Linked DNA regions of Lepisosteus oculatus. The protein of the gene in region 2 interacts with the protein of the main gene of each other region in a biochemical or structural test. Links are inferred from orthologs where the notes say so. Each region holds a gene or a part of one and is shown on either strand. Other genes may lie near its edges.

Evidence for each region. The genes of interacting proteins can lie anywhere in the genome.
Region 1: the proteins of bmpr1ba (region 2) and bmp2a form a complex in vitro, tested with the Homo sapiens proteins (3 studies listed by BioGRID and IntAct, with this or other methods). The link is inferred for Lepisosteus oculatus from reciprocal best matches to the Homo sapiens genes BMPR1B and BMP2.

Annotation. Positions count from the first base shown.
Region 1 is NC_090697.1:40,822,288-40,829,799, forward strand, and holds the start of bmp2a (bone morphogenetic protein 2), read left to right. Parts: upstream 1-4,447; 5' UTR 4,448-4,883; coding exon 4,884-4,933; exon of another isoform or gene 4,934-5,190; intron 5,191-5,897; coding exon 5,898-6,262; intron 6,263-7,512. Other genes in the region: gdf3 (protein DVR-1), read left to right, coding at 820-1,102, 1,369-2,213. UniProt on the Homo sapiens protein: Growth factor of the TGF-beta superfamily that plays essential roles in many developmental processes, including cardiogenesis, neurogenesis, and osteogenesis. Induces cartilage and bone formation.
Region 2 is NC_090698.1:13,785,375-13,793,472, forward strand, and holds the start of bmpr1ba (bone morphogenetic protein receptor type-1B), read right to left. Parts: upstream 3,087-8,098; 5' UTR 2,819-3,086; intron 1-2,818. UniProt on the Homo sapiens protein: On ligand binding, forms a receptor complex consisting of two type II and two type I transmembrane serine/threonine kinases.

The DNA.
Region 1 (7,512 bases), on a different chromosome or scaffold from region 2:
CTTACAAGATGAAGGATAAGCATACAAATTGCAATCAACAGTGCGAATCTAAAACTCTTTGTACCCAACGTACCCAAATAGTACATCCCTCCTACGTTGGGGTTTGACTTTTAAAAATAAAAGGCTAGTATTTGATGAACGTGAATATGGAAACATGAGTTTTATGCATAATTAAGAATTATAGAATATATGGTTTTTACTGTGTCGACACATTCAGCAATAGCAGGAGGAAGAGAGTTAAGACCTCGACTTTTCAAAGCAGGGAAATTTCAAACCAACCATTTTTAGCCTGTAATTATTTAAATATGACCCATTGTCACATGAACTAGATTCCGTGGTCCAAAGCGCTATTTTACACACCCTATTGCTTTATCCGGAGCTACATCTTACCGGAACTTGATGTGGCTAGTAGCGGGTTTGTTCGGGTATTAGGCCTACAACCTTACAAAAACACGGCCATTCCCACAGTATTTTACATTATCTTGTTACTGAAAAAAACTCCCGCTGGAGTTTCAGTTGAGAACAAAAGTGCTCCACTAGCACAAAGGGGGGGTTAATTAGATTCCACTTGCATGTTCACAGCTTTTTGTAAACCCCGAGGTGTGCGTTCTCCCGTTGTACATTGTAGGACTACTGATTGACAATTGAATATAGCCAATAGAACACAAGATTTTATCCTGCAATTAACACCTCTTAATCAATCTCCTGCAAACGCCGTTGGTTTGACTTAGTTTTTATCGGGAACACATGGGTGAAACAGTTAACTCTGTTTTTTTTTCATAACCTCATTCGGTTTAAAGAAACCTTAAGAAATACAGTATGTACGTTGTAATTTTAAAAGCTATAGTTCTTACGTTCTTTCTTGGTTTTTGCTACGGAGGCAAGTCTGAAGATTTGAGAAAACAAGAAAAGTGGTTTCTGAATTCATTGGGTCTTTCTAGCCGCCCAAAGCCTTCAGACAATTTAGCAGTACCTTCCTTATTATGGAAAATGTTCAAGACAAAGACGAGCTCCAAGCCATCCCTTGAAGCAGAAAATGATTCCTGCAGGATATCAGAATTCGATGTCCGTGGAAATATCGTGCGATTTATTCAGGACCAAGGTATTTTCTCACTTCTTGTTGCAATGTGAATGTCGTATAACCTGCACTGTATTATGTTTACTATTTTCGTCATTCCTTATTTAAAAGATCGACGTTATTGTTTCAAAAAACGTTAAATAGTTGTTTAATTTTGATATGTTCATATTTATTACCCTATCTATGTAAGAGTCTTTTGAGGAATTTCATTAATCATTTTAACATGACTTTGATAATTGTATGTTTTGCTGCAATTTACGCTGATAAACGTTGTTGTTGTTTTTTTGTAGGTAGAGTAATTTCTGGATCAAGCCGCCAGTGTTCAACGTGTGTAGAAAAGCACATTTACTTCAATGTTTCTGTGCTTGAAGAGGTTGAGAAGCTCACGTTGGCTCAGCTGGAAATAAAATTCAACCAGAATTTACGTCGATTCTCGATAAATCCACCCATATTCATTATCTCACTATACAAAGTTCAGAAGACAGCATTGAAAGGAATGTCGCGCAAATCCAATCGGAAGCTGCTGCTGTCACAGACTTTTCAACTTGTTCCTGGATCCATCACGTTGGACTTGACGGCTGTCGCAGAGGCCTGGAGAAAACCCGATAAAAACTATGGGCTTGTTCTTGCTATTCATCCCAGTGATCCAAGTAACGGCATGGACCCTTTTAAATTGCCGAATTCAGGAAATGACATTGGGCATAATTTTATTGGAACTCTACCTCAGTTTTACACGTCACTGATCGTTGTTTCTTTGAACCCCCATCAGTGCAGATCTAGAATAAAAAGAAGTGCCTATTATCTGCCTGTAACTCCTAGCAACATTTGTAAACCAAGGCGACTGTACATTGATTTCAAGGATGTAGGTTGGCAAGATTGGATAATTGCTCCTCAGGGGTACATGGCTAATTATTGTCATGGAGAATGCCCATTTCCCTTAAGTGAAAGTCTTAATGGTACTAACCACGCAATTTTACAAACTCTACTCCATTCCTTCGACCCAAATGGTACCCCTCAACCTTGCTGTGTTCCTATTAAATTGTCTCCTATTTCAATGCTGTACTATGATAACAACGACAATGTTGTATTAAGGCATTACGAAGATATGATAGTGGATGAGTGTGGATGCAGGTAATTCATACAATGTAACGTTTTGAATTTAGATTAACAATTTTTAACAAGTTAACCTACTTCTAAATACAGAATATCGCATGGTTAGCGTTTATCACGGATAAAACGGGATCGATCAAGATTGATTATTTTTATTAATATTGTAATAATCAAGAACTCCCGAAATCAAACTATTGGGTCTGAATATCTTATTTTACCTGATAAAAGTTTTAAATTAGCAATTGACAATTTAATCTTATCTTAACAGCCTCTGTAAATCGTTTTTCTGAATTGTAAAGTAGATATGATTACAGACCAAAACATAACTACATTTATATTTTTTTTTTCTCTGCTTCCATTTAAAAGAGGTGCTGAATAAAGTGACATAAAAAGTGAAGTAATACCGGCGTCAGAAGTTGTTTTTAGTAGTTGATGGTGACTGGCTAGGTCACAAAACCTAATTAAAAAAAATAGGTTTCAAAATTTGAATCCTTTAAATGCGAACTAAGCAGTCAGATGGTTTTCATCTTAACAGTCAAATTGTATCTCCCTGAAAATAATTAGTTCTGCCATTAGGTAGGCCTATGTTTTGCCCCAATGCTACTTTTTATTCATTTGTGACTGAAAGGAAAGGAGAGGAGATCTTCCCATTTCTCTAAGAGAAGATCTTGATTAAATGTGCCGAATCTGGTCCACTGGTTCACAGTTTCCTCAACGTAGGTAAAGCAGCTGAATTAACTTCACAGCCTGTCTTTATTCTGCGCGTTTTCGTTAAGTGTGTATTACCTGTCTGTATTGCTCTTATCCATTCTTAAAACCCTTTACTTAAATAAGTATGGGTGCTCTTGAGGTATGTTTACTGTATTTTATTACAGTTTGCTAATACATTCGTTATTTGGTCAGTTTTAAAGAATTTGAATTCAAAGTCAATAAACTTTAAAGCTCTAATACATCGTTGTTATTCCTCTTGATGTTTCTGTGACTGCAGTAATTTAAATATGTAAAGGTATGCATGCATGTGCTTTCCTTGTTCAGTTTTAACAAGCTTTTGCTAACTACCGGTATTCTACACGTCCATGGTGGGGGGGAGGATCGGGGGGCGAAGCAGTAGCAGTTCCGAGGATAATCCGATTTGTGTAATGCGAGACTCAAATTATTTTACTTTTTATCTGAGAAAAATATACAATGAATCTTTGTTTAATACACATGTGATCACACTTTTTAAATCTCTCCACAAGTTGGCGCACTGTATCTAATTTTGACATTTCCTTTCAGATTCTTACAATTTTGAACTCCCTGTAAACAGCGTTGCAAACGTCTATATATGTTAACTTTGTTGAGTTTTTAACACTTTACAGAAACGAAAAACAAATCCGCAACATAACGAATGGTTCTTTACAGGGGACAACCACACAACAGAGAAAAAAAAAAACATTTCTCAGTCTTAACACCGTTTCGTAAATGTTCAGTCGTATCACCCACGAGGAAAGAGTCTATTTCGTCCACTGTAAATTAATGTTATGATTTCTTATAACCCAGATGTTTTTCTTTTGTTACTTAATAAAAGATAATTTTGCAGTTTTGCTGTGCCATGTTTTGATCGAATTTGTGCTTAGTTTCGAAGGACCTTTTCTCTCGGTAAAGAAATGTTGTGGTCTGGAAAAGAACAACTGAATTTATATATTTATACACTAAACATTGGCTTTACAGTTAACATACATAGGCTTTTTTGTGATATTAAAAATAGCTTTAAGAATATTCTAGGAAACATTTAATCTAGTACAGTTTATGCAATATAATTACAATGTGTAATTTTCTCTGATTTGAATTGATATTGCCATTTTCATTTTTTATATTGTATTTATAATTTAAAGTAAAGTTGCTTTACTCAAGTGGTAATTATCCATGTGTAACCTCGCAAGTGATTAGGATTTTGAACTTTTTAATAAAAACTTAGAAGTTGCATAGTTTATTTGGATCTAGAAGGGATATCCATAGTCTTTGTCAGTTTCAAAGTCTTGCTTGATAACAAGCCTTAAAAACTTCCTAAACTGACAAAATTCAGCAGATTAAAAATCCGTTCGCAGATACAGAACTTCTTTAACCTTATGTAGAGCTTCAGGACTAGAATTTACTCCAACAAGTACAGGAGGTGCCTTTGGTGCATGATTGACAGGCTTGTGGTAGTGACATCACTGAGCAACAAAAGGACGCATAAAAAAAAGCTTCTATCAATTGTACTGAACCATTGCACGCTAAATCGGGGAGACGCTCCGAAAGTTATCTTTGTAGTTTGTAATGAGCGGCAGTATACCCTACCGTAAAACTCCCGTAACTTTAATTTTACTGTTGTTTTAATGATTATCAAAGATGACACCTTAAGGAATTAGGTTTTGCCTATTTGTATTTACGTTTTTTCTGGTTAATCTCAAGTGATATTTTCGTATCAGTAATCTGACTCGATTCTTTCTCGCCTGCCGACTTCACAGCTGCTGAGAATATGTGTAAGAAGAGGCGGGCTGTACTGTGGAGGCTTTCTGTTTTCTGCAGAATAGCTGTGTGGAATAACACTAAGTAATGTGGAAAATATCGGACTACAAAGCAGGAAAACCAGCGATCGGACAGAGCACTTCCTTATAGGTAACTGCAGACTTAAAAAACACCTTTGGTTGGTCCACAGGGAATCGGATCCGTAATGGGGAGAAGTAAAGATACCACCATCAACAGTGTACTTCCTAATCAATCGTGAGTTTAATTTTACCTGGACTTTATCCTGAGAGCTGCACTTGTAAAGAAAACACCTATAAGGAAGGTTGAAAAGGGCAGGCAAAAGAGGACGCTGATTATGACCACGAAAGATCCAGCCAGAAGGCATTGGCTTCTGTTTTAAAAAGGAGTGCATTCGGGATATATACGCATATTTCTGGGTTTTTTTCCATGTGGAAACTGTTTCAATGGACGTGTCAGAGAGTGCTTCTTAGTCGATCACCACTTTCTTAAAGGTAGTTGTTTTTGCTTTTTGTTTTTCGCCTTTGATTTGTGGTGGCCAGTGGAAGCACGTTAGATTTAACACCTGTGTGGCTGTCTCTCAGTAACTCTATGATCTAATCCTATTCCAGACACAACACCTTCACGTAAACAGCTTCAACAACTACACACGTGTAACACTCCTTTTCAGTATTGTTCTTTCCCTTCACTCGCCATAGCTATTTATCTTTTTGATCGCTATATTCTTTTATGATTCTTGCATTTTTTTAAGCTTATAAAGACGATTCCTGTCTTTTCATTTTTTGAGTCTTATCTTTGCGCAGTTGCGCCTTCTTGTCTGCCTTCTTTTCCTCCTTCTCATTCATCTCCTTTGATTTTTTTAAAACCGTTTTATCTTTTTAGTTAAATCGACTGTGTTCTTTTATATACCCCCTCCCTTATTGCGTGTTTAACCTATGCCCCTTTATTATGTTCTTATCAGTCTCCCATTTTATTTATCGTGGCCAGCGGGAATATCATTTCCAAAATTTGTTTTTGTTCCTCACATCAAAGTATAATGTCTTTTAACATGCTTGCTTTAAATTCTTCCTCTGGAAAGAAAACATTTTACTGTTCGCATGGCCATATCTTGTGGTAAACATTTTTTACTTAAACTATCAATACCGTACATGTGATAACAACACTCAGGTACTGACACACCGCTTTTTTCTCTCCGGCACAGATTGATCATGGTCGCCGGGGTCCGTGCTCTCATGGTGCTGCTGCTCTGTCAGGTGTTGCTCGGAGGTTCGGTCGGACTTATTCCGGAGGTTGGCCGAAGGAAGTTCAGCGAATCGTCTCGGCAAAGCACGCAGCAATCGGAGGACGTTCTTAACGAATTCGAGCTTCGCCTCCTTAATATGTTTGGACTGAAGCGCAGACCAACTCCAAGCAAGCTTGCGGTGGTCCCGCAGTACATGGTGGACCTCTATCACATGCATTCAGGGAATGGAGATCAGGACCCCAACCGCTCCAGATCAGTGCTGGGCCAGTATTCGGAAAGGTCTGCCAGCAGAGCGAATACAATTAGGAGTTTTCACCATGAAGGTAAGAGTTTCTCCCCGAAGAAGAGTTCTTTTTTTGTCTTAAACAGGAGGTACCTAGGGTAATGGATGTCACATTATCTTAAACACATTTCATTTACTTTGGGTGATTTCGAAAGCACTTTAAACAGAACGGGTTATATGAAATTTCTGTATGTGTCGATTTAAAACTGTTTAATGCCAAGCTTCGTCTTCAACAGGTATGACATTACTTTCGCTCACTGGAAATGTTCTTTTGTAGCCTCTGCTTACTTAAATTGAACATTGTAAATGACCGAAAACTGGTATGTAACTTGTGATATCCAAATTTGTAAATATTCATGGACAGTTTGCAATGTACGGTTGGTTTCAGCGAGTGCTAAAAGTAACGATGGAGTTAGATATCTCGATACAAATATCAACCCTTGATTTGTCTTAGTGTAAAAAGATTGATAATACATACTCATTGTATGTATCTAGCCTTTCATGTATTCTAGTAATTTAAAATCGGTAATTTAGCATAGAAGAAAATGTGGAAGGACATTTTAAAGGTTTTACATTTTTAGATTCAAGAGGTTATCTGATAAAGCACGTTTCTAAAGAAAAGTTGATCTAAAAGATATATAATGTTTTATAGGAAACTATTTAGTTCCATAGTAAAATGACATAAACCTTTAACAGATGCATTCTTTTTAATCATGGTTACTAATGAATGGGCATCTCAATGCTACTTTGCACACTTTAAGTAAGCAATGTCAAAGGAAATAGATTACTTGCACCAATATTTTAACATTTAACATTGACTGTCTGACCTCTTCACATATTGCATAAGACTGGTACCAGCCGATGGGTGGTTCTCAGCCTTGCTTCTAACAGGTACTTGAATTATTAATGTTGTTTCTGTACAGGTTCTGAAAACAATTTTCTCCTACACGAACGGTTTGTTGAGTATCAAATGTTCAGGTCAGGCAACAGTGTACCCGGAGTGTTGTTCACTCATTGTGCGTACACAGCTTAGTTTTCCTTTGATTTGATTTCAGTACATTAATGCTGCATTTGTTTGACAATTTCAGATTTTTCTTTATAAATGTGACAAAACTTTTAACAGAAGCCAACGGAACACAATGGATTGAGACCACAGAACCAATTATTTATTTTAAATGTGTACATAAATACATAATGTTTGTTTTTGTTAGTTCTTTTCTAGACCATACCTTTGTGTGGCAGGTGCTTCTTTTATTCAGTCATTGGTGATACACAGCCACCTCTTTTGAA
Region 2 (8,098 bases):
AAAAAAACAGGAACTGAATAAGAATCTTGAAGCGCAGCGAACAGTACGAGTCTCCTTCGCTTTAAGCAGCTTATTTAAATGACCCTCACAAATGAGAGACCCTACTGCGAGTCTCTGTCACTACGGGACCCAGTTCCAGCAGTGGTATACTGTAGAAAGTTCAGTGGAGAGCACAGGGCAGGACCCACTCTTGTCACCCTTGTGGGTCTTTGCCCTCTTTTTCAGACGTCTCATACTGTAATTGCTTTTCTCGTGCGCCTCTCAACACCCCAGCTCTTAAACCTGGGAAACACGGACAAACCCCACAAACGGAATATGCAGGACGCCTCGGTGTTTGCAGGAACGAGGGTAGTCTGACGCCGTCTGCTGATGGATCTGGATGGTAAGCTGTGACAATGGCGCTAAAAACAATCCACTACATCACCTCAGGCATATTTGTCACCTGCAGACGTAATTACCGTAATGATGCGCCAATTCCATCTGCTGCAGGATCTGCCACACGACAGGCCCCGAGTCTGTTCTGTGACAAGCAGGGCCACCTCCTCACAATGAGCGATACCTGTTTCATTGTCTGCTGTGGAATGGATGTGCATACTGTACTGTAAGTACATCAAGCAGGAGGACAATAAATGCATACTGTATGTCTTCCTCAGTCACCCAAGACTCAGTCCTCCGGAGGTCTAGGATGTCTTGGAGTGGGTATAATGCTTAATGATTTGTAAAAACTGGACGTGATTTCAGCTGTTTGGACCTGATCCACATCGGAACATAAAAATCACAAACAGGACACCTAGTCCATCAGGCTGCTAGTAGGGAACTGACCTGAGGATCTCATCCTCAACAAGATGGCCTGGAAGGTTTTCTGACACACTTGCCTGCAGTTTTCACTTGTGTCCCCTGGTTTATGTGTCACTGGCGATTCTGAAGAAGTCCAGTGTTTAGACTGCCAATGCCTTTGTGGAGTCTGAATACTTGAGTCAGATCCCAAACAGTTAAATTATTCATACAAATTAACTTCTGCCCTGAAATATACTTCTGCTATCTCCCATAGGTAACACCTAAATGAAGAATGCATGTTAATAACACTAGGCAGGAACTAAATATTTTATGGTAATATATATTTCAGTTCTATTTAAGCCCTCATTCAATAATTGCATACTGTATTCTCAGTATGACAGCTAAACATACCATTGAATTGGTGGCTTAAATTGCGAAAAAAAAATACTTAACTGAAGTACATTTTTATATTTTCAATCAGACCTACAACACCTTTACGGAAATGAACATGCAGCTACTCAAGCATGATGTCATTTCAGAAAAATCAAATTTTTAACAAGATTGAGGGTGAGATCGGTCACCTTTTTTCCCCGGAAAATCATCTGCTTTCTTGCTATCTGTGCGAGAAAATGTAGGCAGCTCTCATCAGCATCGGGGAATAATTTATTCACCCAGAGATACTGTACTTTCGAAAAGGAAAAAAAAAAACAGACTAACTGCACACCACAATCATCAGACCTGCCCCTGCTTATGAAATGTGGAACACACTCTCTAGCAGTGTATTTAGGATTTTAAAATCTAAAAGACGTCGTTTTGTAAAACAAGTTTTAAAGGCACCGAAACGTTTTAATATGTCACATTTACATGTAAGTACAAAGGTGATACGTCCTTTCAGCTGTATAAAATACCTAATAGCTATCGATATTTGCGCCCGGTACCTTAAAGTTTATAAACAAATTAGGTTTACCCGTTTGTTTGTTAAACTATACCCATTTGTCAATGATATCTCTTCTACGTGTATTGAACATGCGTTTTTTCAGTGTGTACACAAGTGTATCGAAATCTCCTGAGCAAAGGGGAAGTTAAGATGTTCCAGTGAATGCACACATGATAAATGTTGCTCCACTGCTCACGTTTGCAATCCTATGGTCGATTACAGGACATAGAGTCGAAAGTTTGTCAATCTTCTGACAGAAAAACGTCATTCTGAAGTGTCACACTGAGTGTAAAAGAACAAAAAAAAATACAGCCTATACAGTATGTCGTTTGCTTTATTTTCGCCAAACTGGCCATTTAGTAGACAATTCATGGGGAACACATTCAAAGGCGTAAATATGCTTAACATTCTCTAAAAAAAACTGTTTCTGCGCCTCCTTTCCAAAGCAGCGCTTCTTTCGTGCAGTTTCATAAATAGCTTTTAATATTCAAACAGACGCTTAATTCCCCATGAATTCCAAACTAACAATGCCAAAAACGTTTCGTGTGTCTATCCTCAACATTCACAAAGTTGTGTTTCTATTGATTTGCACTGCAGGGCATTAAGAGATACTCGCAGGTTGTAGTAATCTCATCTCTACATTCGCAGATGGCAGAGCATCGTGCCTTCTCCGAAAATGCATAAACTTTGCTAACAACGAAAAAACTAAAATGGTTAGATTAAACAAGCCTTGACGAAAATCTGGGAAAAAAGCCCTAGAGACAGAAAACTAAAGTTTTCACATACCGGACAATATCTGTATTGCTTACCTCTGGCTTTCTTTCAAGACTCAGTGCGGTATACTATCGGCTTTTTTTCTCATGCGTTTTGTCTAAACTTATTTAGTAAGATCAAAAGGGTACAATGAGATTTCCATGACTGCCTTTTGGATCGCCTTTTGAGAACGAGTTAAAAAAAACAACGTAAACACAACGTTAAGTAATAAAAACACTGTTCGGTTGAAGTGAGCTCCACGGAATCAAAATCCTCCTGTTTTCATCGCAGGAACACAGCACGTTTTCCTTTCCAAGTAACTGGGAATTTTAACTGTTCTGTCATTCTTACCTTCTCCGGTAGGCCGACTCAGACTATGGGCTGCACTCTTCGATCCTAAATACGCAGTTGTTGTTGTTGTTGTTGTTGTTGTTTCCCAAAAAATAAATCAATAGTGATACTGATAGAACCTACGGTACGGGACTCTTAACGTTTCACTTTCCCCGTCAACAGTCCGGTGCTAGCTTTCTGCGTCTTTGCCTTCTTTGCTCTCCGAGTGTCTGCAGCACCCACTAGTGACCTCACCGAGCTCGGAGCAGCGCTTCACGGATAGGTATGGAGCTTACACAGCACCGACTGCACAATTCAGCCGCCCTTGGACTACTTTATGCAAGGCATTGCTTGCTACGAGCCTGGCACAAAGGATTCTACTGTACGTAACCGTTTGTGGAATGGATGTTCCCAATCTACGGATCTACATTTGTCCTCGCCTTTGGTATTTTAAGGATTGCTGGAAAACATTTTCACTCACACACTGAAATTCTCCAGTATTTCTTCGGAACTTTGAAGGTGATTCAAAGTCGTCCACCTAAAGAGTAGAGTTATTACTGTACTGTACTGTACATGTATATATAGAAAATTAAAAGCCAATCCGTTATGTAAAGATCATCCTTCTTACCTGTTGAGTATATTGTCTAAATAGCACAGTAACTGAATCTGTCCAAGGAAAACCAGACAGAATAAAATACTAGTTGAACAGCGATATGAGATGATGCTGCAGGGTTCAGTAAAACTGCACTGGCCAGACCATTAAACAGATTAATTCGCTTTGATTTTGTTAGACCAATAAATAGTGAATCATCTGTTACAGAAATGACTTTTTCAAAGACTCATTACAAATATCCATTACCAATAAAATACCTTAAAATATTTTTCAGGAATTTCCATATTGGCTAGTTGTTATTATTTTCATTTAAAACCACAGTTGAATAAAAAAGAAAAGCTCAGGCTCCCTTGCAAATCTGTGTTGGATAAAGCAGTTAGTACTGTAAGTGGATGGGTGGCTGAATGGATGGAGAATAAAAATTCACCTGGTTGAAGTCAAAATTCCTCAAGTGGAGTTTTCCCATACAGCAGTTTGAAGGGGGATAAATAACGAGTGGAGGTCATTCATCAACTTTTATCTGTTAACCATTTACACTCAGCTGGCTCCTGAGGTTTGTCGTCCAAATAAATAAATCCCAGAGTTGTTAGGCACTGTACAGTAGTTCATCACAAACACACGAACCCTGTGCCTGTTATTTCCAATAGAGTCCATAATGGACCAATAACAGGCACAGGTGTTCCCAGTCCTTAGAGGTGATGGATTTAAGAAGACCTACTGTGCAGTATATACAATAAATCTTTCTGGATCCAGGACCAGGGTTAGAAGTCTTTGCTCTCTGTACAGTACGTTCAGGCCAGTGCTCTGCAGCGGTGGTAGGGAGAGCCCCAACCTGGCTCTGGTTCTGAAGTAATGTAGAGATCATTTAACAAAAAAATATAACATTCTTCAGCCCGCAAGGACAAGTGTCCCCAATACTGAAAGAAAAATTGCTTAATTGATCAAACACCTGTTACAAGTGTTTAAATAAGAGGTTTATAGGATGACCTTCAAGAATAACTAGATATTGGCTCCAACCCTGATCCCGCCCAGTGGGACCCCTGTAAACTGCTGCTTTTTTTCCTGACTGAACTGTCTATCACTTGATGGTTGCTTCTTTAGACTTTTGTGTCTCTGTTTCTGCATTAGCAGCCACCCAGGCCCCATAACCTCAGGACACTTTGAGAGAGAGTAGGATTTTGAAATTGACCTGGAACCGAAATTAATTAATAGGTTAATTGAGCGATGCATCTTTAAAACATTGATATTGCTTATTAATTACAATTCTCCTACAAACAGTGCTGTGGGATCTTTAAAGACCAAGTACCCAGGGCCTTAGTTTAACATCTCATCCAAATACACGCTCATATGACAGTAGTCAGTATTCTATGAAACTGTTTTTTTTTTTAAATTCAGATCCAGAGGGAAGATGCCTCCTACTGGTCCACCACCAACACTTACAACAGGAAACTGGAACTCCTTTGAGGATACTGGCCTAGTACTAACCAGATCCCTCTATTCTGAGTTCCTGAGATCTGATCAGACCAAGCTTCAAGGTGCGAATGCCACTGTTATAAACTGAAGATACAGGAACTTTTCATTGCAGAACAGACTGCTCTGACTGATGAAAGTTAGACAAGGCTGGGGAAGTGAGACAACTGTCACACTAGTGGAATCATTTTTCTGCATTTTCTTCTATGATTCTTTATGTGCCAAGAAGGAGACTTAGGTAGACAATAAACCAACTACTGAGGGTGAATGTTTTTGCAAAAGATTGCGTTCATGTTTGTGAAGATCTTTTTTTATCATGCATCATTTCCTAACCAATCGCCACTGTGATAGTCCCTAAGGTTGTTAAGTGTTGTTTCCTCCATTCACTCTTTGGCTATGACAGACAGATAGTGGCTGCTGTATCTCCCAGGACAAAGACAAACCTCTACTTCTCATAATCCAGATACCCAAGAGAGGAACTAGTACAGGTGCTCTCAGATTCTATTCAGGTGATTCATCAAGATCTAAAATGCCTGGGCAACACAGTTTCTTAATTTGTGTGTGAATGAATTTTACAACATCTTTAAAAACAAAAAAGGTGGTTTAAAAGTGTGTAAGTTAACAAAAAAGTAACACATTCCCCAATAAATGGAGTTTTAAAAACAATTTGGGCAGCAGCATTGCAACAATGTCAATCAAGCTGGTATTACTTAAGGTCCTCGAACTTCCCTGTACAGCAGATTTACATTTTTTCTTTAAACGATTTGTGTAAAAAAGTTTTGTCCCACCTTTTGCACATAACCAGTAGAAAGTAGGGTAGGGTAAAAAAGAATCAATATGAAAACAAGGTGATGGACAGGTTGAAACAACCTCAACATCAAAACAAGACCTGACCCGGGCTCAAACTCGTGTCCAGATGTGGCACATGAGACAGGCAATGTTCTTAGAAGTCAAACGGGCAGTGGAAGACTGAAGCAGAAACATGATCACCTGCATAGATTACTAAACCTGTTTATTTGTAATTCCCCGTGTGCAAAAAAGCTGATCACGTTAGTCCTACTTTTTGAATTGACAGACAAGGACATTTTCTTGATATACTGCTCATATAATGTGCTGAAGAAAGCAATTAAAATAATTGCCCAGAATTCTGAAGAGAACCCTACTGCTAGTAAGATTCTCTGTGGAAAAACATGAAGACATGCAGTTCAAAATGCCTCATGACAACAAGGACCTTTGTTTTATTTGTGTTTTTAAAAGAGTTCCACCAGGCCGATACCTTTTTTGAAGAGTGCATAACTTTATTGCTGGAATGGTGAAAGCTTACAGAGACTTGGGAGATAAAAGAGTTTTTGAAAATAAAGCATTTTCAGGAACACAGTAAGGACAGTTCTAGAGACGGAGAGGGCAACTGTGGTTCAGATCATGGGACAAAACATGGTAAATTCTTTTGGAGAAATTGTTTCCTCTGCTTTTTTTAAATAATCACTTAAACATGGTTTTTAATCAGGCAAAGCCATCAGGGAATATTTCAGTTCAACAGCACTGCAAACACAAAACCGCAAGTTCCGTACTGTAATAGTTATTTATTTTATGAATATCAGGACAACGGAAAAGCCACAAAGAGAGGAGGACATTCAGCACATTATTTACGATCTTTAAGTAGAAAAACTATCCACTATTTTAAAACTAACACAAAGTTTTGTGATGGTGTCTCAAACACTTGCACTAATATGAGACACACCCTCGGACATTCAATTTCTGGTGCCACTTCAGGGTGGAAAAGCTCTTTGTCTGATGGTTTTATCCAAATAGACGTACATTGTATCCATTTATACACCTAGCCACATTACTTGAGCAATCACAGTAACAAAATTTGGTCAAGGGGAGTGTAGCAGTAGTGGTTCATCTAGCATTGGAGCCTCCCATATGCAAGTCTAGAGCCCTGAACACTCCTCCACACTGCCACCTGAACAGGAACCAACAGGTAACAAAAGACAAGCTGGCAGAATCAAAGGCCTGTGAAAGGATTGCCACTCTTGTTTTGAACTCTTCTTGTTTGCAAAAAACAAACAGACAAAATGTACTTTTGTCTGCAGATCACTCTATCCCCCCCGTCACTGCCTCCTGTTATTGAGACTGCAAATGTTGCACATCTGTTGAAAATTATTTGGGACATCCAAGTTATTTGTTGTTGATGTTTTTTTCCCTCTTGTTTTCAATTTACTCATAATTTAAAGAAAGAAAATACAGCTTTTCCTCCCACAGATAAAAAATACTCATAACACCCCTTTTGTATAACATTTAAGTGAACAGGTCACACATCATTGAAGAATTCCAACTATTTAACACTTTATATGAACATTTGTCTACAGGTATATATGAACATTGACTCATCCTTTGTATGCTCTTATAAGAAAAAAAACATTGATTTTAAGAAAACATTTTACTGTCCTACAAATGGTAGAATTATTGGCACCCTATCTAATGTTTCTTTTGAGCTCAAAAGCATCTTTTAACTTTTCATGAAAACCAAAGGTTGTGCAACCATTTCCAATGTAGTTTTCATGTGCATATACTGCACTTAATAGCAGCAAAAGCAAAAGTTTGTATTTGGCTTTGGAATATCAGAACTGTAGGAAAAACAGAGCTAAAAATAAAAGACATAAAAGAAAACCAGTAAATGCACAACTGCTACTAATCTAAAGTTAACAGATCTTAACTTGTCCATTCATCTAAAATATACAAAAAACACCCACGTGCATCCCTTGAAGCCTCAATAAATATACAATCGATACATTTATATTCAGTTAGTGACCTAAGCTGAATTTCAGTGTGAATAGCACAACAAATTTTGCAACACATGAATAACTCAGTCCAAATGTGCTCTATGGGTTTCTGTCACCTCCATTTTCTTTACATTTTTATTCTGCTTGAAAAATCTGACTAGCAATGGGGAAGAAAGGAAAGATTTCCAGCACTGTGTGGACAATTTAGACAGCCCTGTTTCTTTCTGATAAAAACATTAAGCTCATGAATCTACAACAAAAGCCTTTTACTTTTGAGTTCAGACAGTCAATACCTTTTTCTGTTTTTTACACAATCACATTCAAGAAAAATACTTACAATATCTTCCAAAGGTTTTCCAATTCATGTGTACTACAAAACCAGGTTCACTCAGTTTATTATAGAAGCCTGCCTGCTGGACACAGTTGGCTCTG